Anolis sagrei: one gene and its partners. The protein of the gene in region 4 interacts with the protein of the main gene of each other region in a pairwise test. Links are inferred from orthologs where the notes say so. Each region holds a gene or a part of one and is shown on either strand. Other genes may lie near its edges.

What was found.
Region 1: the proteins of UBE2W (region 4) and RNF26 interact in a two-hybrid assay, tested with the Homo sapiens proteins (2 studies listed by BioGRID and IntAct). The link is inferred for Anolis sagrei from reciprocal best matches to the Homo sapiens genes UBE2W and RNF26.
Region 2: the proteins of UBE2W (region 4) and MARCHF5 interact in binary tests that used the Homo sapiens proteins (3 or more experiments, as listed by UniProt). The link is inferred for Anolis sagrei from reciprocal best matches to the Homo sapiens genes UBE2W and MARCHF5.
Region 3: the proteins of UBE2W (region 4) and PSTPIP1 interact in binary tests that used the Homo sapiens proteins (3 or more experiments, as listed by UniProt). The two-hybrid records come from large-scale screens. The link is inferred for Anolis sagrei from reciprocal best matches to the Homo sapiens genes UBE2W and PSTPIP1.

Annotation. Positions count from the first base shown.
Region 1 is NC_090027.1:39,268,368-39,276,076, reverse strand, and holds the start of RNF26 (E3 ubiquitin-protein ligase RNF26), read left to right. Parts: upstream 1-4,688; 5' UTR 4,689-4,809; intron 4,810-7,287; 5' UTR 7,288-7,652; coding exon 7,653-7,709. UniProt on the Homo sapiens protein: E3 ubiquitin-protein ligase that plays a key role in endosome organization by retaining vesicles in the perinuclear cloud.
Region 2 is NC_090023.1:187,038,618-187,045,981, reverse strand, and holds the start of MARCHF5 (E3 ubiquitin-protein ligase MARCHF5), read left to right. Parts: upstream 1-4,343; 5' UTR 4,344-4,501; coding exon 4,502-4,545; intron 4,546-7,364. UniProt on the Homo sapiens protein: Mitochondrial E3 ubiquitin-protein ligase that plays a crucial role in the control of mitochondrial morphology by acting as a positive regulator of mitochondrial fission and as an important regulator of immune response.
Region 3 is NC_090029.1:10,961,216-10,968,525, reverse strand, and holds the start of PSTPIP1 (proline-serine-threonine phosphatase-interacting protein 1), read left to right. Parts: upstream 1-4,294; 5' UTR 4,295-4,721; coding exon 4,722-4,754; intron 4,755-7,310. UniProt on the Homo sapiens protein: Involved in regulation of the actin cytoskeleton. May regulate WAS actin-bundling activity. Bridges the interaction between ABL1 and PTPN18 leading to ABL1 dephosphorylation.
Region 4 is NC_090024.1:42,444,619-42,451,669, forward strand, and holds the start of UBE2W (ubiquitin-conjugating enzyme E2 W), read left to right. Parts: upstream 1-4,027; 5' UTR 4,028-4,225; coding exon 4,226-4,240; intron 4,241-7,051. UniProt on the Homo sapiens protein: Accepts ubiquitin from the E1 complex and catalyzes its covalent attachment to other proteins.

The DNA of each region.
Region 1 (7,709 bases), on a different chromosome or scaffold from region 4:
ATCACCTATACTTCCCAGTGTCCAACCTCCTCCTCCTGAGTCAGGTCTTGGAGCATGTGGTGGTCTCCCAACTCCAAGGATTTTGGGATGATATGGATTATCTACAGCCATTTCAATCTGGTTTCAGGCCTGGCTATGAAACAGAGACAGCTTTGGTCGCCTTGGTGGATGACCTACTCAGAGAGCTAGATGGAGGAAGTGTGTCCTTGTTGGTTCTCCTGGATCTCTATGAGGAGCGGCTTAAGGAGCTGGGCATGTTTAGCCTGAAGAAAAGAAGGCTGAGAGGAGATATGATAGCCATGTATAAATATGTGAGAGGAAGTCCTAGGGAGGAGGGAGCAAGCTGGTTTTCTGCTTCCCTGGAGACTAGGATTATTCCTGCTTCTTGGCAGGGGTTTGGACTGGATGGCCCACGAGGTCTCTTCCAACTTTTTGATTCTATGATTCTATGGAATGTGGACCAATGATAGAGAATGGCTCCATCAATATCGATGGCATTGGCTTCAACAATGTGACCAGCTTTAAATACCTCAGCTCAAAGATCACTTCTGCTGGTGACATACTGGCAGATGCCACGGACATGCAAATGTCACATGAAGTGGAGAGGAACGACAGACGTAATGTGGGATAAGAAGATCCCAATTCATCTAAAGTTGAAAATCTACAGGATTGTGGTGAGACTGGTCACTCTATACGCCACTGAGTGCTGGCCGACCACGAAGGCTGTCAAGTAAGTTCTGCACACTGTGGCAATGCAGATGCTCGGATGGTCAACGGGTGTTACCCTGAAGTACAGGATTCCGAATGATACAATGCGCTCCATCTTTGGAGTTGATCTGTTTGGTGAGAAGATGAAGGAATCCCACCTGAGATGGTTTGGACATGTGCAACAAAGGGACGAGGCCAAAACCTTGCAGAATATGGAAGTTGCAGGTGCCAGGCCACGTGGCAGACCTAAAATGCGCTGGTTCGACCGCTTGAAACGGAACATGGCCCAAGCAAGACTCACAACGAGAGACGCGACTGATAAGAACAAGTGGAGAACAAGAAACAAACAAGGAAGATGAAGAAGTTATAGATGCAAAGCATAAACCAATATATTGCTCTTGTTGTGCCTTTTTACAACTCAGCCTTGAACATGTTTGGATTCTTCCCGGACCAGAAGTTGTAGTTTTCCTCCCGTAAAGGAGACCTTTGCGCTCTTTGATCGAATCGCCCTGCGGGTTTAACGGAAGACGCGTCAGAACACGGTTTATGAATGTATCTGCCAAAACAGACATTTAACAAAAACATACCACCTCAATTCCAGACTCAGGCGTATCTCAGAGGGATCTCTATGGGAGGTAAATAGGAGATATAGGTGTTTCGGCCTCACGGATGTGCATGCAAAGAGGGCAGAGTGCACCATTGTAAACTTTCATCCCAAAACGGGTTCATCCTGGAGTTACCTGGAGAGGCGGGAAATAAATACAATTTATAATAATAAAAAATAATAAAAGTAATAAATAATGTATTATTATTTATCAGTATTCTGATTTATTATTATTATTATTAATTCTATTTTATTAAGAGTAATATAATTTATTATTAGTATTACTAATTATTAGTAATATTTTTGTTGTACTATTATATTTTTAGTATTTATATTACAGTATATTACGGCAAGGCTGCATACTCTCACCCAACCTTTTCAACTTGTATGCAGAACACATCATGCGAGGATGTGCGGGGCTGGATGAATGCAAAGCTGGGGTGAAAATGGCTGGAAGAAACACCAACAAACTCAGATATGCAGATGACACCACTCTGATGGCCAAAAGCGAGGAGGAGCTGAGGAGCCTTCTAATCAAGGTGAAAGAAGAAAGCGTAAAAGCTGGGTTGCAGGTAAACATCAAAAAAACCCAAGATTATGGCCACATGAATGATTGACAACTGGAAAATAGAGGGAGAAAATGTGGAGGCCGTGACAGACTTTGTATTTCTAGGCGCAAAGATGACTGCAGATGCAGACTGTGGCCAGGAAATCAGGAGACACTTCCTTCTTGGAAGGAGAGCAATGTCCAGTCTCGATAAAATAGTAAAGAGCAGAGACATCAGACTGGCAACAAAGATCCATTGCCTAGTCAAAGCCATGGTATTCCCTGTAGTCACCTACGGATGTGAGAGCTGGACCTTAGGGAAGGCTGAGCGAAGGAAGATCGATGCTTTTGAGCTGTGGTGTTGGAGGAAAGTTCTGAGAGTGCCTTGGACTGCGAGAAGATCCAACCAGTCCATCCTCCAGGAAATAAAGCCCGTCTGCTCACTGGAGGGAAGGAGACTAGAGACAAAGTTGAAGTCCTTTGGCCACATCATGAGGAGACAGGAAAGCCTAGAGAAGACAATTATGCTGGGGAAAGTGGAAGGCAAAAGGAAGAGGGGCCGACCAAGGGCAAGATGGATGGATGTCATCCTTGAAGTGACTTGACTGACCTTGAAGGAGCTGGGGGTGGTGACGGCTGACAAGGAGCTCTGGCGTGGGCTGGTCCATGAGGTCGGAGACGACTGAACGAATGAAGAACATATTATTATTTATATTTTATTATTTAGTATTCATTTTATTATTGTATTATTATTTATATTTTTATTTGTATTCTTAATTATTTTTAGTAATACTTACTATTACTATATTTTATTATTATTCTATTATTTTTGTATTTATTATTATTATTATTTATTAGTATTCTTACTTATTAGGAATATTATTTACTATTATTACATTTTATTATTATTCAGTTATTAGTATTCTTATGAATTATATTTCATTATTAATTAGTATACATATTTATTATTCTTAATTATATTATTATTTATTTATTTTATAAATTTTATATATATTATTGTTTATTAAGATTTATTATTTACTATTATTATATTTTATTATTATTCTATTATTGCTATCTTTATGAATTATATTTTTTATTAATTAGTATCTATATTTATTAATTTTAATTCTATTATTATTAATTTTTATTAATTTTATATATATTATTGTTTATTAAGATTACTTATTCTTAATATTATTATTTACTATTATTATATTTTATTATTATTCTTAGTATTCTTATGAATTATATTTCATTACTAATTAGTATCCATATTTATTCTCCTTAATTATATTATTATTTATTTTTATTAATTTTATATATATTATTGTTTATTAAGATTATTTATTCTTAATATTATTTACTATTATTATATTTTATTATTATTCTAAGTATTTTATGCATTATATTTTATTATTAATTTGTATTTTTATTTATTATTAATAATTATAGTATTTATTTTAATTATATATAATTAGTAGTAATATTATTATTTAGTATTATTATATTTTATTATTATTCCATTATTAGTATTCTTATGAATTATATTTCATTATTAATTAGTCTCCATATTTATTATTCTTAATTATATTATATTATTATTTATTACTTTTATATATTATTATTTATTAAGATTACTTATTCTTAATAATATTTATTAGTATTCTTATGAATTATATTTCATTATTAATTAGTATACATATTTATTATTCTTAATTATATTATATTATTATTTATTAATTGTATATATTATTATTTATTAAGATTACTTATTCTTAATATTTATTAGTATTCTTATGAATTATATTTCATTATTAATTAGTATACATATTTATTATTCTTAATTATATTATTTATTAATTTTTATTAATTTTATATATATTATTGTTTATTAAGATTACTTATTCTTAATATTATTTACTATTATTATTATTATTGTATTAGTATTATTATGCATTATATTTTATTTTTATTTATTATTATTAATTATAGTATTACTTTAATTATATATAATTAGTAATATTATTATTTACTATTGTTATAGTTTATCATTATATTAGTATTATATTTTATTATTAATTAGTATTAATATTATTCTTAATTATATTAATTATATATTATTAGGATTATTTATTAGAAGTAATATTATTTGCTTTATTTTATTATTCTATTATTTATTAGTATTATTCTTTATTATTAGTCTTTATTATTATTATTTTAATTATTTTTACTGACACAAAACCACATTATGACACAGCAAACGAGATGTATATGCTGGATTTTAATTTAATTTTGTTTAAGTAATTTTTTGTTTAATTATATTATTATTATTATTATTATTATTATTATTATTTATGTGTAGAAAATGAGACAGAACGGAGGCCCCGCCCACTCATAATCACGTGACCGACTAACGGCTCTAACGGTCAAACCTTTCGAGTCTATGAGGACTCAGTAGTGGGCGGGGTTTCCAATCAACCCCGCCCACCCTCGGTGCCAAGGCAACCGCCCACGAGCCTTTTTCAAAACCGGCCAATCAGAGGACGGAAACAAAACCAAAGGAAAACAACCTTGCCAGCGACAAGAAGCGAACGAATAACAAGTCGAGTTTGAAGGACGCCCCGCCTCCAGGATTCCCCGATGCTGATTGGATGAAAGCGGGAATCAACAAATTACGAAAGCCCCGCCTACGGGGATTCCCGATGCTCATTGGATGAGGAGGCGACGCGAGTCCCGCCTACAGGATTCCCCGATTCTGATTGGAGGACGTGCCTCCTCCTTACCTGACTAGGAGGGAGGGTGAATTGGAATTCCCCGACGCTGATTGGAGGGCGGGGAAGGGCGCGACCCCGCCTACCAAGATGTCGGCGCCCATGAGCGAGGAGGGAAGAGCTTCGCCGTCGAGGGGGTTAGTCCAAGTTCTTCGCCTCAGAGGGAAGCGGGCGAGGTGGGCCAAGGCCTTGTTTGTGGGGAAGGGGAAGGGGGTGGGAGGGGAAGCCCCCTTTCCCTTGCTTTTCTGGCTCCAACTGACCTTAAAGAGGTCCCTCTTGGGGGAAGGGGAGGCCTGAGGGACTGTCCCCTCCCCCACACCCCAAATGAACTCATTGGAAGCGTTAATTAGGGACCCCGAGGCCTCCTTCAGGCTCCCAAGGGACATGCCCAGGCTTGCTTCTTCCATCAAGCCTCGCCAGGAACTCACAGGCAGTTCAGCTTTATTGTTTTGGCCAAAAGTGAGAGCAAATAGGTAAAAAGAAAGGTTTTCCCTGACATTAAGTCCAGTCATGGCCCACTCTGGGAGTTGGTGCTCATCTCCATCTCTCAGCCCTAGGTTTCAGCAGTGACCAGGGGAGCATTCGCACAATTAAAACTTGTGCGCCAGCTGCGCCCATACCTTGGGAAGTCTGACTTGGCCACGGTAGTCCACGCTCTGGTTACATCTCGTATAGACTACTGCAATGCTCTCTATGTGGGGTTGCCTCTGAAGATTGCTTGGAATCTTCAAATGGTCCAACGATCGGCAGCTAGGATGCTAACAGGAGCGGCACTCAGGGAGCATACAACTCCTCTGTTGCGCCAGCTCCACTGGCTGCCAATTTGCTACCGGGCACAATTCAAAGTTCTAGCTTTAGCCTTTAAAGCCCTAAACGGTTCTGGCCCGACCTACCTGTCCGAACGCATCTCCCAGCTAGGACATTAAGATCGTCTGGGGAGGCCCTGCTCTCAATCCCGCCGGCTTCACAAGCATGTCTGGCGGGGACGAGAGACAGGGCCTTCTCAGTGGTGGCCCCTCGGCTGTGGAACAACCTTCCAACAGATATTAGATCGGCCCCCTCCCTACTGACGTTCCGGAGAAGAGTGAAGACCTGGCTCTTCGAACAGGCATTCAACTAAGCAGTGCAATTGATCAATTATTGAAACATGGAACAATGGACAACGAGATCGGATTCTGATTCTATTGATGAGACGTGATGGATTAGTTATGTTGATGTACTGATGTATTGATGTTGATGTTGGGGTTAATTAATTGTTATGCTACTGCTTTTAGATGTCTAATGATTTTGTATTGTGTATATTGAATTGGTTGTTAACTGCTTTGAGTTGCCTAAGGGCTGAGAAGAGCGGTATACAAATGAAGTAAATATAATATAAATATATATAAGCCGAAGAACCAGCATTGTCTGTAGACACCTCCAAGTTGATGTGGCCAGACGGTATGGAATGCTGTTAGGTAATAGTATGATAGCTGGATCTGGAAGCTTGGCGCATTACACTGTGTCCGCTTCGCTCCTTCAGGAGCGCTGTTTGTGCAACGCAGAACAGAATCCTAGAGTTGGAAGAGACCTCATGGGCCATACAGTCCAACCCCTTGCCAAGAAGCAGGAATATTGCATTCAAAGCACTCCTGACAGATGGCCATCCAGCCTCTGTTTAAAAGCTTCCAAAGAAGGAGCCTCCACCACACTCAGGGGCAGAGAGTTAGTCACAGGCCTTTCAGCCTTACAGTTTTTGCCAAAAGTGAGAGCAAATAGGTAAAGGGAAGGGTTTTCCCTGACATTAAGTCCAGTCATGGCCCACTCTGGGGGTTGGTGCTCATCTCCATTTCTAAGAACCAGCATTGTCCGTAGACACATCCAAGGTCATGTGGCCAGCATGACTGTACAGAGTGCCTTTAGGTAATAGTATGATAGCTTGGTCTGGAAGCTCGGCGCATTACACTGTGTCCGCGTCGCTCCTTTGGGAGCGCTGTTTGTGCAACGTGGACAGAACATGTCACTGAGACAGATATTATAGAAGGAATGTAACGGTAAAACTCTTACCCGAACCCTAACCCTTACCGTGAACCTAACCCCTAAACCTTACCCTAAGCTAAACCCCTTACCATAATCCTTACCCAAACCCTAACCCTTAACCTTACCCTAAACCTTATCCAGTAATAGTATGATACCTAGGTCTGGAAGTTCAGAGCATGACGCTGTGTCTGCTTTGCTTCTTCATGATCTCACCAGGAAGGGAGTTCCATAGCTGGGGAGAAATCACCGAGAAGGCCATGTCTCGTGTCCCCACCAATCATGCCTCTGACAATGGCGGGACGGAAAGCAGGGCCTCCCCGGAGGATCTTAATCTCTGTGATGATTCATAGGGGGAGATGCGTTCGGACAGGTAATTTGGACCAGGGCCGTTTAGGGCTTTATAGGCCAAAGCCAGCACTTTGAACTGTGCCCAGTAGCAAACTGACAGCCAGTGGAGCTGGTGTAACATGGGAGTTGTATGCTCCCTGTATTCATCTCCAAAGGATTTCTTGTAAAAAGAACAAGGGGCTTTCCATAGCTAAGATAGAAAGGACTCCATTCACCTGCCTTTGATAACCAGTGCCACTTACTCCAGTCCACAAACAGCTACTTAACTCACTTCCTTTTCTCTTTAGTGACTGCTGTGGCTCTTGGGAATGGCAAGATCAGCAGCAAAAAAAGGCCTGGGACTCACCGTTTTAGCTATCCAAAGTATTCATTCCTGTTACGTCACGAATAAAGGATCAAAACTTCAAGCAGCATGGATGCCTGACACCTTCTGGAGCATCTCCTGAAATAAAAACTAGATTATACCAAGGATATAAAGGTCTTCTCTGGGCTCCTGACATTTTCGAATTCATTGCCAAAGGATTTCTTTTCATTAAAAACTATCAAAGATAGGACTCTGTTCACCTGTCTTTTGGGAATCAGCACAACTCACTCCAGTCTACAATCTGCTTCGTCTTCCTCCTTGCAGCGTCTCTTCCTTTTCACCTCAGCTATGGAGCTAGTGTTCCTGATCATCAATGGCATGGCGATGATTTTGGACATTGCTCTG
Region 2 (7,364 bases), on a different chromosome or scaffold from region 4:
AATAGTGAGATAGACTCTTTGACTCCCAATTTCTGGGATATAAATAAATCTAATACTAAAAATCAATAAAAAATGAGACACACCTGTAACAGCAGAAAGGGGGGGGGGGGGGGAGAGAAGGGAGATGTATCTCCAGTGACCTTTAATCTTCACTACAGTGGTATAGCTACTTTAAGTAACAATTTTGGGAGGAAAGCGGAATGCAAAATGATAATAACAACATCATCAACAACAATGAGAGGCACCCCTGTAACAGTGTGAAGACAGGCAAGGGAGAGGAAAAGGATCTCCAGTGATGATACATCTCCACTACAAGTGAGATGGCCACTGTTGAGTCCCAAATTGGGTGAAAGCAGAATAAAAATATAGTAATATAATTATAACAGATGTAAAAAGAAGTGCATCTGTAACAAGGCAGACAAGGAAGGGAAGAAGGGTTTTTAGCAACCATAAATCTCCACTGTAGTGTAACACCCTCTATGAGTCCCAATTTTTTGTAGGGGAGGGGAGAAGGATATGGAGAAGGAGACAAAGACTGTAATAATGGAATTTAAGAAAATGTGCACCTGTAACAGCATGGAAGACAGGGAAGGGAATGGAGAAGGATCCTCGGTGACTATAAATCTCAGATATAGTGAGACAGTCACTATGAGTCCTAATTTAGGGGGTGAACGTGGGGTATAAATATAATAATAAATATGAAAAAGAGGTATATCTGTACCAGCAGTGGAGGCAGAAAAGAGAAAGGAGAAGGATCTTCAGTGACTATAAACCTCCACTACAAAGAGACAGTTGTTTTGAGTCCCAATTTGGGGATGAATGAAATATATCATCATCATCATCATCATCATCATCATCATCATCATCATCATCATCGGGTGTACTTTTTGGCAGGAAAGGGTGGGAAGAAGGATCTCCACCTACCATAAATATCCACTACAGTGAGATAACCACTACAGTGAGATAACCACTACAGTGAAATAATTGAGTCCCAGTTTGTGGGAGGGGCAAAGGAGGTAATAGTAATGATAAAGATAATAATAATGATAGGAAGGAAGGCAGGCAGGCATATATGTAACAGTGCGGAAGTTAGGAAAGGGAGGAGAGAGGGCTCCTCAGAGACCATAAATCTCCACTGTAGTGAGTCCCAATTTTGGGTTGGAAAGCAAACTAAATAAATAAATATGATAATAATGGAATTAAGAAGAGATAAAGGGCAGTACTACTAGTACTAATAGTAGTAGTAGTAGTAGTAATAAATATAATACTAACAATAATAATGCAATGAAAAGGAGGGAAAGCAGAGTAGAAATAAACGTAAAAATAATAATGGAATTAAAAGAAGGGAAAGCGGAGAACAAATAATAATAATAATAATAATAATAATAATAGTAATAGTAATAGTAATATGATCGGCACACTGGGTGCAGTGCCTAAAGATTTTGGTCTGCACTTAAACACAATCGGCGCTGACAAAATTACCATCTGTCAGCTGCAGAAGGCCACCTTACTGGGATCTGCACACATTATTTGCCAATACATCACACAGTCCTAGACAATTGGGAAGTGTCCGGTGCGTGATCCAATGCAACAACCAGCAGAGTGATCTTGTCTGCTGTGGACTCATCTTATTCTGTTTCAAATAATAATAATAATAATAATATAATCAAAAGGAATAAAAGAAGAGTCCAAATAAATATGATAATAGAATTAATAATAAATATAATAATAAAAATATAAATAATATAGCTAATAATAGAATTAAAAGGAGGGAAAGTGGAGTAAACAAATATAATAATAATAATAATAATAATAATAATAATAATAGAATTGAAAGGAGAAAAAGAAGAGTCCAAATAAATATAATGACAATTAAATTAATAATAATAGTAATATAATTATAATGCAAATAATAAATATGATAATGGACTTTAAAAGAGAGAATTTGGAGTACTTGCAAGTATAATGACAATGGCATTAATAATACATATACTGAATACAATACTAATACAAATAATAAATATAATAATAGAAATAAAAGGAGTGAATGAAGAGTCCAAATAAATATGACAATTAAATTAATATAATAATAATAATAATAATAATGCAAATAATAAATATAATAATGGACTTTAAAAGAGGGGATTTGGAGTACTAGTAAATATAATGACAATGGCATTAATAATAATCAATATAATTAAAAATGTAATGTTCGTTTGTGGGATTAGCATAACTCAAAAACCACAGTGTAGACCTCACAACCTCTGAGGATGCTTGCCATAGATGCAGGTGAAACGTCAGGAGAGAATGCCTCTAGAACATGGCCATATAGCCCGAAAAAACCCACAACAGCCCAGTGATTCTGGTCATGAAAGCCTTCGACAATACATTATTATTATTATTATTATTATTATTATTATTATTATATATAAACTGGGCCACAGCAACACGTGGCAGGGGGACGGCTAGTCATAAATATAATAATACATATACTAAATATAATAGTAATACAAATAATAAATATAATAGTGGAATTAAAAGGAGGGGGGAAAGAGCCCAAATAATTATAATGACAATTAAATTAATAATTGTCTTGTTACATCCTGAATAGATTACTGCAACGTGCTCTACGTGGGGTTGCCTTTGAAGACTGTTCAGAAACTTCAATTAGTCCAATGGGCGGCGGCTAGATTACTCACCGGAGTGTCATACATGGAGCATACCACCCACCTCCTATGTCAGCTCCGCTGGCTGCCGATCCAATTCCGAGCACAATTCAAAGTGCTGGTTTAGACTTACAAAACCCTATATGGCTCCGCCCCAGTGTACCTGTCCGAACATATCTCCTTCTATGTCCCACCCCGGAGTTTAAGATCTGCTGAGGGGGCTCTGCTCTCGGCCCCACCTTTATCACATGCAAGACTGGTGGGGACGAGGGACAGGGCCAGGCATGTAGCCGGGGGGGGGGGGGGCTCGGGGGGCTTCAGCCCCCCCCCCCCCGAAATTCTCATGGTGGTTCGCGAAAAGGCCTTACTGGTGCATTATTTAAACTGTTATGTTTATTCATATCATGATCTTATCACCATACTCAATATATCCCATATGCATGGGGGTATTGGGGTAATGATACAAAAGGTTTGCTAGGCTAGACCCTCTTTCACTCAGACTCAGCCCCCCCCCCAAACGAAATCCTGGCTACGGGCCTGGACAGGGCCTTCTCGGTGGTGGCTCCTCGCCTGTGGAATGCGCTCCCTGGGGAAATTAGGACATCAACATCCCTTCTCTCCTTCAGAAGGAAGCTAAAAACCTGGATGTGGGACCAGGCCTTCAGGTAAGCTGGCAGATGGACAAAGACAACCAATAATGACCAGAGTAGGAAAGGACAATGACGATGATAGATGGTTTACGGACTTGGATTTGGTGAACATTGACCACAAGATGTTTTTATTGCTGCTAGTATACTGTTTGATTGTTTTAATTAGTTATAACTGACATTATATGGCAAATTTGTGTATTGTATATTGTATTGTATTTTGTGAATTGTTGGGCATCGAATTGTGCCTTTTGTAAGCCGCCCTGAGTCCCCCCTAGGGGGTTGAGAAGGGTGGGGTAGAAGCGCCCCAAATAAATAAATATAATAATATAATAATGCAAATAATGAATATAATAATGAAATGAAAAGGAGAGAAAGTGGAGTCCAAGCAAAGAGAATGAGAATGGAATGAAGAAGACAGAAAGCAGGGTATCAATCTAAATAAATAATAATATCAATAATAATATCAATCTAAATAAATCTAAATAAATAATAAATAAATAATCAATCTAGAGAACAACAGCTATATCTAGCAACCCTCCAGGAGCGCCTCACCCTCGCCTCCTGCTTGAGGGTGCCAAAGAAGGGCTGCCTACGAGGCCCCCACCCTCCTTTCCCGCCCCTCACAGTAACGACAAGGAACGAGTGAGGAACGAACTACCCCCTTCCCTCCCCTCCCCTCCCCCAAAGTGACAGCGGCCCAGGGGGCTGACCTTTCCCTCAGCGCGCGTGGCCATCTCGCCGCCTCCTCCTCCTCCTCCCATTAAAGACACATAAACAAAGCCGTCTCGCGCAGGGGAGGGGAGGGGGGGGTGGCGGCTGAACGGAACAGCCCAACGGTGAAGCGCGAGAGCAGGAGGAGGGAAGAGGGGAGGGGGATTTAAATCCCCTCAGGGCACACTCGCGACGGGAACTACATTTCCCATAGTGCCTCGGGAGAGAGGGAGGGGGGCGGTACCTCGCTGGAGTGAGTGAATGAGGGAGGAGGAGAAGTCGGGACCCGAGGCGCCGCGGGGAGTCCGTCCCTCTGTGAGGTAAGCGCCGGCGCATGCGCAGTGGCTCCCTCTTAGGCCCTGCGTCGTCCTCCTCCTCGGGTGTTATTTTCGAGGGGCCCCCGTGCTCACCTTGTGTCTCCCTCCTCGCGCCGGCGGTTGGGGCCTTGTCCCCCTCTCCCCTCGCCACCTCAGGATGTCGGAACAGACGGGCTTGGTGATGCCGCAGAGCCTGGACAGGTAATAAAGCGAAGGGGGAGAGGCGGCCTTGGTGGTGGTGGTGGAGGAGGAGGAGGGTGGGCGCCATAGACACCGGGACGACTGGAGCCTTTGGGGACACAATTAAGAAATCTTGCTGACTGGAAGGTTGGAGATTCCCTCAATAATCTACCCAACCAGGATGTTGTGAGTTTTCCGGGCTGTATGGCCATGCTCCAGAAGCATTCTCTCCTGACGTTTCGCCTGCATCTATGGCAAGCATCCTCAGAGGTAGTGAGGTCTGTTGGAACTAGGAAAATGGATTTATATATCTGTGAAATGACCAGGGTGGGACAAAGAACTCTTGTCTATTGGAGCTAGGTGTGAATGTTTCAACTGACCACCTTGATTAGCATTTGATGGCCTGGTAGTGCCATCTATGGCAGGTATCTTCAGAGGTCGTGAAGTCTGTTGGAAAGTAGGCAAGTGAGATTCATATATATATATATATATATATATATATATATGCTAGCTTATATATATATATATATGGAAAATAGAGGAAGAAAATGTGGAGGCCGTGACAGACTTTGTATTTCTAGGCGCAAAGATTGCTGCAGATGCAGACTGTGGCCAGGAAATCAGAAGACGCTTACTTCTTGGGAGGAGAGCAATGTCCAATCTCGATAAAATAGTGAAGAGTAGAGACATTTTTTTTATTTATTTCGGGGTTCTTTTACCCCGCCCTTCTCACCCCCGAAGGGGACTCAGGGCGGCTTACAAAAGCAAAGGCACAATTTGATGCCTGCATCACAGAACAATCAAAACACAAAATTACATCAATTCACAGTTAACAACAATTCATGCATTATACCAATAAAATCAATAAAAGCAATACAAACCCAATTCCTTCTCCTACATGGTCAGTGTTCGCTAACTCATAGTTCTAATTTTCAGTTCCACTTCGTCAATCCTGTTGGTCTTACTCGCCTGATTGTCTTATTTAATTGCCAGATTGCCCAAAGGCCTGGTCCCATAACCACGTCTTCACCCTCCTCCTGAAGGAGAGGAGGGATGATGATGCCCTGATTTCCCCCGGGAGTGAGTTCCACAGGTGAGGGGCCACCACTGAGAAAGCCCTGCTCCTCATCCCCACCAGACTCACTTGTGACAGTGGTGGTGTCGAGAGCAGGGCCTCCCCAGATGATCTCAGACTCCGGGGTTGGACGTAGAGGGAGATACGTTCGGACAGATACACTGGACCGGAACCGTACAGGGTTTTGTAGGTCAAAACCAGGACCTTGAATTGTGCTCGGAACTGGACCGGCAGCCAGTGGAGCTGACACAGGATGGGGGTGGTATGCTCCCTGTATGTCGCTCCGGTGAGCAGTCTGGCTGCCGCTCGCTGGACTAGTTGAAGTTTCCGAACAGTCTTCAAGGGCAACCCCACGTAGAGAGCGTTGCAGTAGTCTATTCGGGATGTAACAAGAGCGTGGATCACCGTGGCCAGATCAGACTTCCCAAGGTATGGGCGCAACTGGTGCACAAGTTTTAATTGCACAAAAGCTCTCCCGGCCACCGCCGAGACCTGGGGTTCCAGGCTCAGCGGTGAGTCCAGGATCACACTGGCAACAAAGATCCGCATAGTCAAAGCCATGGTATTCCCTGTAGTAACCTACGGATATGAGAGCTGGACCTTAGGGAAGGCTGAGCGAAGGAAGATAGATGCTTTTGAACTGTGGTGTTGGAGTAAAGTTCTGAGAGTGCCTTGGACAGCGAAAAGATCCAACCAGTCCATCTTCCAGGAAATAAAGCCCGGCTGCTCATTGGAGGGAAGGATACTAGAGACAAAGTTGAAGTACTTTGGCCACATCATGAGGAGACAGCAAAGTCTGGAGAAGACAATTATGCTGGGGAAAGTGTAAGGTAAAAGGAAGAGGGGCCGACCAAGGGCAAGATGGATGGATGGCATCCTTGAAGTGACTGGACTGACCTTGAAGGAGCTGGGGGTGGTGACGGCTGACAGGGAGCTCTGGCGTGGGCTGGTCCATGAGGTCACGAAGAGTCGGGGACAACTGAATGAATGAACAACAACAATATATGCTAGCTGTCCCCTGCATGCGTTGCTGTGGCCCAGTTTGTTGATCTGGTAAATAAAGTAATGAGGAAGTGTTGGTTTCTAATATATGTAATTTCTTTATGCTTGTTGGGTAAACAGTATTTCTTGCTGTTTCTTTGTCAGTGTTGATGTGGAGATTGTCTGTTTGTCTCCTCTGGAACATTCAACATATAATTGTCCTTCTTTAGAGGTTCCTTTCAAATCTATGATACTATATTTGTGTGTGTGTGTGAGTCATATATATCTCTCTATATCTATGAATGGATGGCTCTTTGTCAGGAGGGCTTTGATTATTTTTTCTTGCCCTGGTAAAGGAAGTTGGACTGGATGGCCTTAAATATTTTCTGTTGGTCTTGGGAGTTCTGTGTGGGAAGTTTGCCCCAATGCAGTAGTTGGTGGAGTTCAGAATGCTCTTTGATTGTAGGTGAACTATAAATCCCAGCAACTACTAATCCCAAATGTCAAGGTCTATTTCTCCCAAACTTCATCTGTGTTTATATTTTGGCATATGGAGTATTCGTGCCAAGTTTGGTCCAGATCCATCATTATTTGAGTCCACAGTGCTCTCTAGATATGGGTGAACTACAACTCCAAAACTCAAGGTCAGTGCCCACCAAACCCTTCTAATGTTTTCTGTTGGTCATGAGAGTTCTATTTGCCAAGTTTGGTTCAATTCCATCATTGATGGAGTTCAGAATGCTCTTTGATTATAGGTGAACTATAAATCCCAGCAACTACAACT
Region 3 (7,310 bases), on a different chromosome or scaffold from region 4:
TAGAGTGGCCCTCCGTGAGGTCATTGGCTGTTACTAGGTGAAGTGGCCCTTTTTGAGGCCACTGCATCAGAGTGGCCCTCCGTGAGGTCGCTGGATGGGCTGTTGCTAGGTGAAGTGGCCCTTTTTGAGGCGACTGCATCAGCTAGAGTGGCCCTCTGTGAGGCCACTGGATCAGCTGTTGCTAGGTGAAGTGGTCCTCTGTGAGGCCACTGGATTGGCTAGAGTGGCCCTCTGTGAGGTCGTTGGATTGGCTGTTGCTAAGTGAAGTGGCCCTTTTTGAGGCCACTGCATCAGAGTGGCCCTCCGTGAGGTCGCTGGATGGGCTGTTGCTAGGTGAAGTGGCCCTTTTGGAGGCCACTGCATCAGCTAGTGTGGCCCTCTGAGGTCGCTGGATCGGCTGTTGCTAGGTGAAGTGGCCCTTTTTGAGGCCACTGCATCAGCTAGAGTGGCCCTCCGTGAGGTCATTGGCTGTTACTAGGTGAAGTGGCCCTTTTTGAGGCCACTGCATTAGAGTGGCCCTCCGTGAGGTCGCTGGATGGGCTGTTGCTAGGTGAAGTGGCCCTTTTGGAGGCCACTGCATCAGCTAGTGTGGCCCTCTGAGGTCGCTGGATCGGCTGTTGCTAGGTGAAGTGGCCCTTTTTGAGGCCACTGCATCAGCTAGAGTGGCCCTCCGTGAGGTCATTGGCTGTTACTAGGTGAAGTGGCCCTTTTTGAGGCCACTGCATTAGAGTGGCCCTCCGTGAGGTCGCTGGATGGGCTGTTGCTAGGTGAAGTGGCCCTTTTTGAGGCCACTGCATCAGAGTGGCCCTCCGTGAGGTCGCTGGATGGGCTGTTGCTAGGTGAAGTGGCCCTTTTTGAGGCCACTGCATCAGCTAGAGTGGCCCTCCGTGAGGTCGCTGGATCGGCTGTTGCTAGGTGAAGTGGTCCTCTGTGAGGCCACTGGATCGGCTAGAGTGGCCCTCTGTGAGGTCATTGGCTGTTACTAGGTGAAGTGGCCCTTTTTGAGGCCACTTCATCAGAGTGGCCCTCCATGAGGTCGCTGTATTGGCTGTTGCTAGGTGAAGTGGCCCTTTTTGAGGCCACTGCATCAGCTAGAGTGGCCCTCCGTGAGGTCATTGCTGTTACTAGGTGAAGTGGCCCTTTTTGAGGCCACGGCATCAAAGTGGCCCTCCATGAGGTCGTTGGATCAGCTGTTGCTAGATGAAGTGGGCCCTCTGAAGCCATTGGATCGGCTGTTGCTAGATGGTGGCCCTTTTTGAGGCCACTGCATCAGCTAGAGTGGCCCTCTGTGAGGTCATTGGCTGTTACTAGGTGAAGTGGCCCTTTTTGAGGCCACTGCATCAGAGTGGCCCTCCGTGAGGTCGCTAGATCGGCTGTTGCTAGGTGAAGTGGCCCTTTTTGAGGCCACTGCATCAGCTAGAGTGGCCCTCTGTGAGGCCACTGGATCAGCTGTTGCTAGGTGAAGTGGCCCTTTTTGAGGCCACTGCATTAGAGTGGCCCTCCGTGAGGTCGCTGGATGGGCTGTTGCTAGGTGAAGTGGCCCTTTTGGAGGCCACTGCATCAGCTAGTGTGGCCCTCTGAGGTCGCTGGATCGGCTGTTGCTAGGTGAAGTGGCCCTTTTTGAGGCCACTGCATCAGCTAGAGTGGCCCTCCGTGAGGTCATTGGCTGTTACTAGGTGAAGTGGCCCTTTTTGAGGCCACTGCATTAGAGTGGCCCTCCGTGAGGTCGCTGGATGGGCTGTTGCTAGGTGAAGTGGCCCTTTTTGAGGCCACTGCATCAGAGTGGCCCTCCGTGAGGTCGCTGGATGGGCTGTTGCTAGGTGAAGTGGCCCTTTTTGAGGCCACTGCATCAGCTAGAGTGGCCCTCCGTGAGGTCGCTGGATCGGCTGTTGCTAGGTGAAGTGGTCCTCTGTGAGGCCACTGGATCGGCTAGAGTGGCCCTCTGTGAGGTCATTGGCTGTTACTAGGTGAAGTGGCCCTTTTTGAGGCCACTTCATCAGAGTGGCCCTCCATGAGGTCGCTGTATTGGCTGTTGCTAGGTGAAGTGGCCCTTTTTGAGGCCACTGCATCAGCTAGAGTGGCCCTCCGTGAGGTCATTGCTGTTACTAGGTGAAGTGGCCCTTTTTGAGGCCACGGCATCAAAGTGGCCCTCCATGAGGTCGTTGGATCAGCTGTTGCTAGATGAAGTGGGCCCTCTGAAGCCATTGGATCGGCTGTTGCTAGATGGTGGCCCTTTTTGAGGCCACTGCATCAGCTAGAGTGGCCCTCTGTGAGGTCATTGGCTGTTACTAGGTGAAGTGGCCCTTTTTGAGGCCACTGCATCAGAGTGGCCCTCCGTGAGGTCGCTAGATCGGCTGTTGCTAGGTGAAGTGGCCCTTTTTGAGGCCACTGCATCAGCTAGAGTGGCCCTCTGTGAGGCCACTGGATCAGCTGTTGCTAGGTGAAGTGGCCCTTTTTGAGGCCACTGCATCAGCTAGAATGGCCCACCATGAGGTCATTGGATTGGCTGTTACTAGGTGAAGTGGCCCTTTTTGAGGCCACTGCATCAGCTAGAATGGCCCACCATGAGGTCATTGGATTGGCTGTTACTAGGTGAAGTGGCCCTTTTTGAGGCCACTGCATCAGCTAGAATGGCCCACCATGAGGTCATTGGATTGGCTGTTACTAGGTGAAGTGGCCCTTTTTGAGACCACTGCATCAGCTAGAGTGGCCCTCTGTGAGGCCACTGGATCAGCTGTTGCTAGGTGAAGTGGTCCTCTGTGAGGCCACTGGATTGGCTAGAATGGCCCTCTGTGAGGTCGTTGGATCGGCTGCTGCTAGGTGAAGTGGCCATTTTTGAGGCCACTGCATCAGAGTGACCCTCTGTGAAACCACTGGATTAGCTGTTGCTAGGTGAAGTGGCCCTTTTGGAGGCCACTGCATCAGCTAGTGTGGCCCTCTGTGAGGTTGCTGGATTGGCTGTTGATAAGTAAAGTGGCCCTCTGTGAGGTCGCTGGATCAGCTGTTGCTAGGTGAAGTGGCCCTTTTTGAGGCCACTGCATCAGCTAGAGTGGCCCTCTGTGAGGCCATTGGATCAGCTATTGCTAAGTGAAGTAGCCCTCTGTGAGGCCACTGGATTAGCTGTTGCTATGTGAAGTGGTCCTTTTTGAGGCTACTGGATCAGCTAGAGTGGCCCTCCATGAGGTTACTGGATCAGCTGTTGCTAGGTGAAGTTGCCCTCTGTGATGCCACTGCATCGGCTTGAGTGGCCCTCTGTGAGGCTACTGGTTCAGCTGTTGATAGGTGAAACGGCCCTTTGTGAGGCCACTGGATCGGCTGTTGCTAGGTGGAGTGACCTTCTATGAGGCCACTGGAATGGCTAGTGTGGCCCTCTGAGATCACTGGATCAGCTGTTGCTAGGTGAAGTGGCCCTCTGTGAAGTCACCGGGAAAGAAATACGACATATGTATACGAGGTGAAGGGAGGGAGGAAGAAAGGAAAGAAAAAGGGATGGAAGGAAGAAAAAAGGGGGAGGAAGGAAAGAGAAAGGAGGAAGGAAGGAAGGAAGGAAGGAAGGAAGGAAGGAAGGAAGGAAGGAAGGAAGGAAGGAAGGGAAGAGATAGGAAAGAAAGAAGAGGTATATGAGGGAAACGGAGGAAGGAGAGACAGCAGCACAGAGGCTTGTTGCTCCTCTTCCATCTGTACTAGAATTAAACCCTTTGTCATCTCCCACTCTCAATGCTGTCAGATCCTGGGAGATGTAGTTTTGCAAGGGCTTTCATCTTCTCTGGGATAGAGTGTTAATGCGGCCCCCAAGGACAACTCCCAGGATTTTGTAGCTTTGTGCCACGGCAGTCCAAAGTGGCATCAACCCGCATTAATGTACGTTGAATTGCAGCTTCACTGCTCATCATCACCCGCGGCTTCAAGCGAGCCAAGACATTGGAGGCCGCAGCCTGCTTGGGATCCCATGCTCTGAATGTCAACATTTCTGGCCCGAGGCCTCCCAAAGCAAGGCCTCCATTGTGCTAGTTGTTGTGCGCCTTTGCTCACATTAGTATTCCGGTGGTGCAGTGCGCTCCCTTCTCGTTCCATTCATGTTCAGTTCAATGTCAGCCCGGTGCATTTGCAAAAAATGATGCATTTCCTCTGTTTCGAGGTTGGAAAACCCTTCCGTTCTTGCAGCAATCGCTGAGCCGGCAAGACCGCAGCTCCGCTTCCTGTGTGTACATGATTTGGGCCTAGCAATATATACATACATACATATATATACATATATAAGATAGGCAAAAATATATAAACAACACAAGGACCAAGATTTTGGTCCAAAATCCAAGTTTGGTTTTGTTCCAACCGTTTGTCGTTGTGTGTCTCTCTTTTTCTGTACTTTCTAAAAGGTAACCCACAAAACACAAAAGCCTCTGCTTTGCATACTGACAACTTTTTTTTCTCTTTCGGCTTCCTCATTGCGTTATTATATATATATATTCGTCGCTTGCCAGAAATGAAAAGAAGAGGGGTGGAGCGAAAAGTGGAACGCAAGAGGAAAAGAAGACCTCGCGGGTGAGGCTTTTGGGGTGTCGTCTGCTCCCCCCTTCGGAGACATAAACGTCGCCACAAACTTCCTCCCAGGGAACCGTTTTTGCACTTTGTCAAGAAGAAGAAAATTTTCCTTTTCGGCTTGGAACAAAGTGCCTGTTATTCGGACGCCTTTGGCACCGTTTTGGACTGCCTTCCTCGTCATGGCACACCTGCAGTTTAAGGATGTCTTTTGGGTAAGCGCCCATGCCTTGCCATCGAGAAGAAGACGCAACACTTTTATTATGTCTAATAAGTGCCTGGCACCTGTCGCCACAATTATTTTGGTTGAGTCGCACTCAACATTGAGTGCAATGAACTATTTACTGTATAAACTGGCTACTACTATTATTATTACTACTATTACTATTATTATTTTGGCTCGGTAGAACTGAACATTGAGTACATTCAACTATTTACTATATAATAATAATTTCTTTCAACTTGGTAGAACTGAACATTGAGTGCACTCAGTTATTTACTTTTTTTTTCTCGGCTTGGTAGAACTGAACATTGAGTGCACTCAACTATTGATTATATAATAATAATAATAATAATAATAATTATTATTATTATTATTATTGGCTTGGTAGAACTGAACATTGAGTGCACTCAACTATTGATTATATTATTATTATTATTATTGGCTTGGTAAACTGAACATTGAGTGTACTCAGTTATTTACTATATAATAATTTTTTTCTTGGCTTGGTAGAACTGGAGTGCACTCAACTATTTACTACATAATTATAATAATAATTATTATTATTATTATTTTCGGCTTGGTAGAACTGAACATTCGCTTTGAGTCACCTGAGGGCTGAGAAAAGCAGTATAGTAGTAAATAATTGAGTGCACTCAGTGTTCAGTTCTACCAAGCCAATAATAATAATAATAATTATTATTATTATTATTATTATTATATAGTAAATAGCTGAGTGCACCCCAGTTCTACCAAGCCAAGAAAAAAAATTATTATATAGTAAATAACTGAGTACACTCAATGTTCAGTTCTACCAAGCTGAAAATAATAATAATAATAATAATTATTATTATTATATAGTAAATAGTTTAGTGTACTCAAAGTTCAGTTCTACCAAGCCTATTATTATTATTATTATTATTATTATTATTATTATTATTGGCTTGGTAGAACTGAACATTGAGTGCACTCTACTATTGATTATATAATAATAATAATAATAATAATAATTATTATTATTATTATTATTATTGGCTTGGTAGAACTGAACATTGAGTGCACTCAAATTATTTACTACTATACCGCTTTTCTCAGCCCTCAGGTGACTCAAAGCGAATGTTCAGTTCTACCAAGCTGAAAATAATAATAATAATAATAATAATAATAATAATAATTATTATTATTATTATTATTATATAGTAAATAGTTTAGTGTACTCAAAGTTCAGTTCTACCAAGCCTATTATTATTATTATTATTATTATTATTATTGGCTTGGTAGAACTGAACTTTGAGTACACTAAACTATTTACTATATTATTATTATTATTTTCAGCTTGGTAGAACTGAACATTTGCTTTGAGTCACCTGAGGGCTGAGAAAAGCGGTATATAAATAAAGTAAATAAATAAACAAACATTGAGTGCACTCAACTATTTACTATATTAAAATAATAATAATAATAATTATTATTATTATTATTATTGGCTTGGTAGAACTGAACATTGAGTGCACTCATCTATTTACTATATTATTATTATAATAATTATTATTATCAGCTTGGTAGAACTGAACAATGAGTGCACTCAACTATTTACTATATAATAATAATAATAATAATAATAATTATTATTATTATTATTATTATCGGCTTGGTAGAACCGAGCGTTGAGTACACTCAACTATTTTCTATATAATAATTATAATTTTTTTCGGCTTGGTAGAACTGAACATTGAGTACACTCAACTATTTACTATATAATAATTTCTTTCGACTTGCTAGAACTGAACGCTTAAGCGGCTGAGGGTGAAAAGGAGGGGGCCTGAGGTGGTTAGGAATGGTGGGAGTTGTAGTCCAAAACACCTGGAGGGCCCAAGTTTGCTCATGCCTGGTGTAGATGCACCATCAAAATGCCTGATTCAGACTAACGCCGCTTCCTATTCCAAGACACAATGATATTTCCCTGGGAAAATCTGACATTGGGCTTAATCTGGTGTGAAACGGGTGAATCAGTCGGAGCGTAATGGTTGGGATGATGCATCCGAAGGCAGAAATTCACATTTTTTGCAGCAACTTCAAGCTGGATCCTTCTCTGCTGGGTTCGTCTCCGTGCTGGGAATGGCAAAGGCAATAGTAGGTTTGGCTTGCGGCTCTTTGTAACTTCCAATGAGTGGAATCGTTGGGTTTTTCTTTCAACTTATTATTTTCCTAAAGGAGAACCTGATCTGCTCCTAAGAGAATCTCACTCTTCTTAGGGTATCATTGGAGGGCCTTTTTGGGGTACTTTTTGGGTGCATTTGCACTGCAAAACGAATACAGTTTAATTGCAATGGCTCAATGCGATGGGATCCTGGGAGTTGCAGTTCGGCAGGGTCTTGGCGTGTTATATTTCCTCTGTTCCTTCTGCGGTTAATTGAGAACTTCTCTTTTTCCAACCAAAGCCCTTCCAGGAACAAAGGCAGTGGTTTGTCTCACAGCTGGTAGTGCTTTCCACCCAATTTGGACTGAATGCAATGCTCTTATTTCAAAAGTGGCGTCAAACTGCATTAAT
Region 4 (7,051 bases):
TGCTAGTTGGCACTGACAGTTGGATTAGGCCAAATGTCACCATCTGCTACATGGCCTAGATCCCAGGTCTTATCACACATGGGCTTATTTTCCTTCCAATTTACCACACACGCCTTAAAGATCATGCAAAGGTTTTGTTTTTTGTTTTTTCTTCTTCTGTATGTTGAAAGGCACAGGTTGACTGCCCCTTATCTGAAATACTTGGGACTGGAAGTGTTTTGGCACAGGTTGACTGCCCTTATCTGAAATACTTGGGACTGGAAGTGTTTTGAATTTCCGGTATCTGTATTTGCATACATTTACATAATGCCAAATCCTGGAAATGGAACTGATGTCTAAACCTGAAATTCATTGTTTCATATATAGATAGCCTGAAGGCAATTTTAACTCAAACGGATGCAGTTTGACACTACTCTAACTGCTATGGTTCAATGCTAAGGAATCATGAGAATTGTAGTTTATAATTGCCTTTAGCCTCTGTCAAAGTGTATTGATGACTTACCAAACACGCAGAATTCCATAGTATTGAATAAATCATGTTAAATTGGTGTCAACCTGCATTAAATTTACAGTAGATCAGGCATGGGCCAACTTGGGCCTTCCCTCCAGGGTTTTGGACTTCAACTCCCACAATTCCTAACAGCCTACTGGCTCATGCCTGATTTACACAGTAGAATGCATGCAGTTTAGCACCACTTTTAAATGCCAGGTCTCGATGCTATGGAATTCTGGGAGTTGTAGTTTAGTCCTCTGTCAAATAGCACTGATGCCTCACCAGGCTACATACAGACAGCTCTACAGCATTGAGTCATGGCAGTTAAAGTAGTATCAAACAATCCTACAATGTACTATGGACATACTTCTCCTTATGAACTATCTGGGACATTAAGATCTTCCTCACAGATGCCTTTGGTAGGGACGAGAGACAGGGCCTTCTCAGTGGTGGCCTCTCAGCTGCAGAACGCCCTTCCCAGGGATATAAGATCGCCCCCCTCCCTTCTGACTTTTTGAAGAAAGGTTAAAACCTGGCGTTTTGAAAAGGCCTTCGCTATTCCAGCATAATTATACGAAACCATGGAATGACCTGACGATGCAATTGAATAATGATTTTGACAAGGAGACACTCACAATGATGTTTTTTATGGCTTTGTACGGTTTTTTAAATATTTTATGCTAAATGTTTTTAACAGTATTTTATGATTGTTTTACTTGTTTATAATTATTGAGGCATCAAATGCTGCCAGCTGTGAACCGCCCAGAGTCGCCTCCGGGCTGAGAAGGGCGGTATACCAATATGGTAAATAAATACTTCTTCATCACACTAGAGAGAAAAAATCCACTTAAAATCCGGTTTCTGCCTCCTGCAGAATTCTGGGGTTTGTATTTTAGTGATGCTCCTCGTGTTCTTTTTTTTCTGCATTTTCCTGCATTTCATGATGTTCATTTTTTCTGCATTTCAGAAAAAAATGAAATGTAAAGATACAGAATGGAGGACGTGTGGCTCGAGAGCAGTACATGTTAAAAAGATCTCGGGGTCTTCATGAACAAGTTAAACATGAGCCAACAATGTGATGCGGCGGCAAAAAAACCAACGAGATTTTGGCCTGCATCAATAAGAGTATAGTGTCTAGATGCAGGGAAATCATGCTACCCCTCTATTCTGCCTTGGTTAGACCACAGCTGGAATATTGTGTCCAATTCAGGGCACCACAATTGAAGAGAGATATTGACAAGCTGGAATGTGTCTGGAGGAGGGCGACTAAAATGATCAAGGGTCTGGAGAACAAGCCCTATGAGGAGTGGCTTAAAGAGCTGAGCATGTTTAGCCTGAAGAAGAGAAGGCTGAGAGGAGACATGATAGCCATGTATAAATATGTCAGAAGAAGTCATAGGGAAGAGGGAGCAAGTTTGTTTTCTGCTACCCTGGGGTCTAGGGCGCAGAAAAAAGGCTTCAAACTACAAGAAAGGAGATTCCATCTGAACATTAGGAAGAACTTCCTGGCTGTGAGAGCTGTTCAGCAGTGGAACTCTGCCCCGGAGTGTGGTGGAGGCTCCTTCTTTAGAAGCTTTTAAACTGGGGCTGGATAGCTATCTGTCGGGGGTGCTTTGAATGCAATTTTCCTGCTTCTTGGCAGGGGGTTGGCCTGGATGGCCCATGAGGTCTCTTCCAACTCTATGATTCTAACCCCAGAGTTCTACAGGAGGCAGAAACTGGATTTTAAGTGGATTTTTTCGCTAGTGTGATGAGGCCCACCTTGAGCATCGCTTTGACAGGCACACAGCTCCGTATATATTTTTAGGAAGGAGCAGAGAAAAGCAAAGGAGGCAGTAGTGTCAATTAAGTAATAGTAGGTGCAACTCGTAGGGATGAGGGAAGCAGGTGCAACTCGTGGGGACGAGGGAGAGGGCATTTTCTGTGGTGGCCTCTCGACTCTGGAACTCGCTCCCCAAAGATATTAGGCAAGCCCCCTCATTGGCAGTCTTTAGGAGCTTGTTCCAATATGCCTTCCCTGAATGAAAGATTAATAATACCCTGATCTGACCAATTCTCTGCAAAATGTCCTCTGAAGCACTTTATTCTACTTTTTGGGGCAATTGACCCCACCCTACCCTCTAAAACCCGTTCAGACTCATTTCACTGCTGTCACACCCAGTGTTTTAAATTTTTAGTAGAATTGGCCCTGCCCACAGTGCTGGATCATTGTTTTTTTAAATGTTGTGTTTTATTGCTGATATGTTATTTATAATGGTTTTGTATTGTATTGTATTTTTTATTGCTGTGTTTGTTTATAGTGATTTATTGTATTGTCGGGCTTGGCCCCATGTAAGCCGGCCCAAGGCCCCTTGGGGAGATGGTGGCGGGGTATAAATAAAGTTTTATTATTTTACTGACACAAAAGCACAGTATGTCACAGCAAACGAGATCTATATGCTGGATTTCGTATCAAAAATCACAAGTTGAACACTTCCCAAGCGTCTAGGACTGTGTGATGTATTTTTGAATGATGCACACACATCCAAGTAAGGTGGCCTTTTGCAGTTGACAGATTGTGATTTTGTCGATGTTTATTGTTTCCAAATGCCGGCTGAGATCTTTTGGCACGGCACCCAGTGCGCCAATGACCATTGGGACCACTTTTATTGGTTTATGCCAGAGCCTTTGCGATTCGATTTTGAGGTCTTGATAACGGCTGAGTTTTTCCTGTTGTTTTTCCTCAATGCGGCTGTCACACGGTATGTCAACCGCTAGGCCTGTAGCCAGGATTTCGTTTGGGGGGGGGGGCTGAATTTTTTTCAGGGGGCGTTTCGGGGGGGGGTGAGTTTCGGGGGGGCTGAGTCTGAGTGAAAGAGGGTCTAGCCTAGCAAACCTTTTGTATCATTACCCCAATACCCTCATGCATATGGGATATATTGAGTATGGTGATCAGACCATAATATGAATAAACATAACTGTTTAAATAATGCACCAGTAAGGCCTTTTCGCGAACCACTGTGAGAATTTCGGGGGGGGGGGGGAGTTGAAGCCCTTCAAGCCCCCCCCCCTCCCCCTCCCCCTCCCCCGGCTACATGCCTGTCAACCTCAATAATCCAGACTTTTTTCTTTTCCACAATCGTGATGTCTGGTGGATTGTGTTCCAAAACTTTGTCAGTCTGGATTCAAGAATCCCACAGTATTTTTGCATGTTCATTTTCCACGACCTTATGATCCCACCAATTCTTTACTGCTGGCAGGTGGTACTTGTGACATAAGTTCCAGTGAATCATCTGGGCCACAGAGTTGTGCCTTTGTTTGTAGTCCGTCTGTGCAATTTTCTTGCCACAGCTGAGGATAAGGTCCATGGTTTCACCAGCTTCCTTGCACAGTCTGCTTTATTATTATTGTTGTTGTAGTAGAAGAAGAAAAAGTTCATTGTAAGGAAAATAAAAGCGGCGTGAAGTCACAATGGCCAGGTTTCCCATTGGAACCTTCTACCTGGAGCCTTCCGCGGCAGCTCTCCCATGCGCATGCGCGGCTTCCCGGGGAATGGCCGGAGGGCCCACGTGACCAGGCCGGGGAAAGGTGGGGGCCGGCAGTGGAGGGAGCCGGCGCTCTTGCCGCCTCCTCCTCCTCCTCCGCCGCCGCCGCTCTGCGTCTCTCTCGCTCTCTCTCTCTCTCTGAGCTTGCCTCTCTTGTGGGCCCGTCCGGCGGCGCAGAGAGGGGAGGGGGCGGGGAGGCGGATCCATCATGGCGTCTATGCAGGTGAGCAGCCTCCGGCGTCTCTTTCGTCCCCAGGTGGCCCTTTGGCGTTGGGAGGGAACGGCGTGTGTGAGGGGAACTTCGCCTGGCAGGAGAAACCATCCCCATCACCCCCCCTCCTCCCATTCGTGGTCCCGTCCTCCTCGAGTCGGATGAGGCGGACGATCCCACTTTGCCCTGCTTGAGGGGGGGAAGAGACATCGCTTAAAGAACCCCCTTTAGTCTCCTCTCCCCCCCCCTCCATCTTTTCCTTTTTGGTCTCTTCCTCCTTCAAGCGAATGAGGCGGACGGTCCCACTCTCCCCTTCTTTGGGGGTGGCTCTCTCCAGGTGGAGCGGGGAGAACAGGTGCTGCCTTTGGGAAGGGCCTTCTGGGCTGTGACAGATCCCTTCCTCGCCTCTCCTTCGCTGTGGGCGTTTTCTCCACACTGGAGTAGCCAACGTCGGGCTTTTAGGAAAGGAGGAAAAAGTGAGAGTTTGGGTCGAAAGGACGAGGCGGAAGCGGGCTCACTCCCAAGCCAGGAAGTGTGGAAAGTCATCTCGGCGTCCTTCTCCTCCCATTCTTTCAATACATTAGTCATGGTGTTGTATATGTTCTGAGAGTAGGAGTGGCCCAGCACTGCCAGGGACCAACCTTTTGGGCTTGGATTTGTTCTTACCTGCTGCCTACTGGTCTTCTAGTGCTTTTAAGGCCTTTGAGGTGACAATATTTAGTCAACAATGGCTTCTTAAACCATTTAAGGCAGGCATGGGCAAACTTGGACCCTCCAGGTGTTTTGGACTTCAACTCCTACCATTCCTAACAGCTTCAGACCCTTTCCTTTCTCCCCTCAGCCGCTTAAGTTACAAACATCCAACTTATTATATTATATTATTGACAATATTGGTCAACAATGGCTTCTTAAACCATTTAAGGCAGGCATGCGCAAACTTGGGCCTTCCCAAGTATTTTGGACTTCAGTTCCCACCATTCCTAACAGCTTCAGGCCCTTTCCTTTTCCCCTTCAGCCACTTATTATATTGTTGACAGTATTGGTCAACAATGGCTTCTTAAACCATTTAAGGCAGGCATGGGCAAACTTGGACACTCCAGGCGTTTTGGACTTCAATTCCCACCATTCCTAACAGCCTCAAGCCCTTTCCTTTCCCCCCTCAGCCGCTTATTATATTATATTGTTGACAATATTGGTCAACAATGGCTTCTTAACCCATTTAAGGCAGGCATGGGCAAACTTGGGCCCTCCAAATATTTTGGATTTCAACTCCCACTATTCCTAACAGCCTCAGGCCCTTTCCTTTTCCCCCTCAGCCACTTATTATATGTATTATATTGTTGACCATATTGGTCAACAATGGCTTCTTAACCCATTTAAGACAGGCATGGGCAAACTTGGGCCCTCCAAATATTTTGGATTTCAACTCCCACCATTCCTAACAGCCTCAGGCCCTTTCCTTTCCCCCCTCAGCCACTTATTATATTATATTGTTGACAATATTGGTCAACAATGGCTTCTTAAACCATTTAAGGCAGTCATGGGCAAACTTGGGCCCTCCAAGTATTTTGAACTTCAACTCCCACCATTCCTAACAGCCTCAGGCCCTTTCCTTTTCCCCCTCAGCCACTTATTATATTATATTGTTGACACTATTGGTCAACAATGGCTTCTTAAACCATTTAAAGCAGGCTTGGGCAAACTTGGGCCTTCCAGGTGTTTTGGACTTCAACTCCCACCATTCCTAACAGCTTCAGGCCCTTTCCTTTCCCCCCTCAGCTGCTTATTATATTATATTGTTGACAGTATTGGTCAACAATGGCTTCTTAAACCATTTAAGGCAGTCATGGGCAAACTTGGACCCTCCAGGCATTTTGGACTTCAACTCCCACCATTCCTAACAGCCTCAGGCCCTTTCCTTTCCCCCCTCAGCCGCTTATTATATTATATTGTTGACAGTATTGGTTAACAATGGCTTCTTAAACCATTTAAGGCAGGCATGGGCTAACTTGGGCCCTCCAAGTATTTTGGGCTTAAACTCCCACCATTCCTAGCAGCCTCAGGCCCCTTCCTTTTCCCCTCAGCTGCTTAAGTTACAAACATCCAACTTACAAATGACTCATAGTTAAGAACAGGGGTGAGACAAGAGGAAGTGAGAGAAAACTACCCCTTGGAAGGAAAATTCACTCCAGAAAGAGTTATGATGAGGAAAAGGTGCCTCCACTGAAGTTTTACCACCAATCCTTGTTTCCACAAAAGCCAAATTTTTCAAAATCCGATTATCACAAGGACAGAAAGTGAGGTGAAATCTTCTGAACAGGGGCACAGAAAGTGAAATAAACACCACAGGGTGTTTACCCTTCACTAAGCTACCCAAAGCGCGCGCCCCTCTCTATATATGATCGAATCCTAGAGTTGGAAGAGACCTCATGGGCCATCCAGTCCAACCCCCTACCAAGAAGTAGGAAAATCTCATTCAAAGCACCCCTGACAGATGGCCATCAAGCCTCTGCTTAAAAGCCTCCAAAGAAGGAGCCTTCACCACACTCCAGGGCAGAGAGCCCCACTACTAAACATCTCTCACAGTCAGGAAGTTCTTCCTAATGTCAGGTGGAATCTCCTTTCCTTAGTTTGAAGCCATTGTTCCACATCCTGGTCTCCAGGGCAGCAGTAAACAAGATATAGATATATAGAGAGGGAGAAAGAGAGAGCTGGAGATACACTTAAAAATGAACCTTTTCCAACTTACATACAAATTCAACTTAAGAAAAAACATACAGAACCTATCTTGTTCGTAACTTGGGGACTGCCTGTACTGCCCAA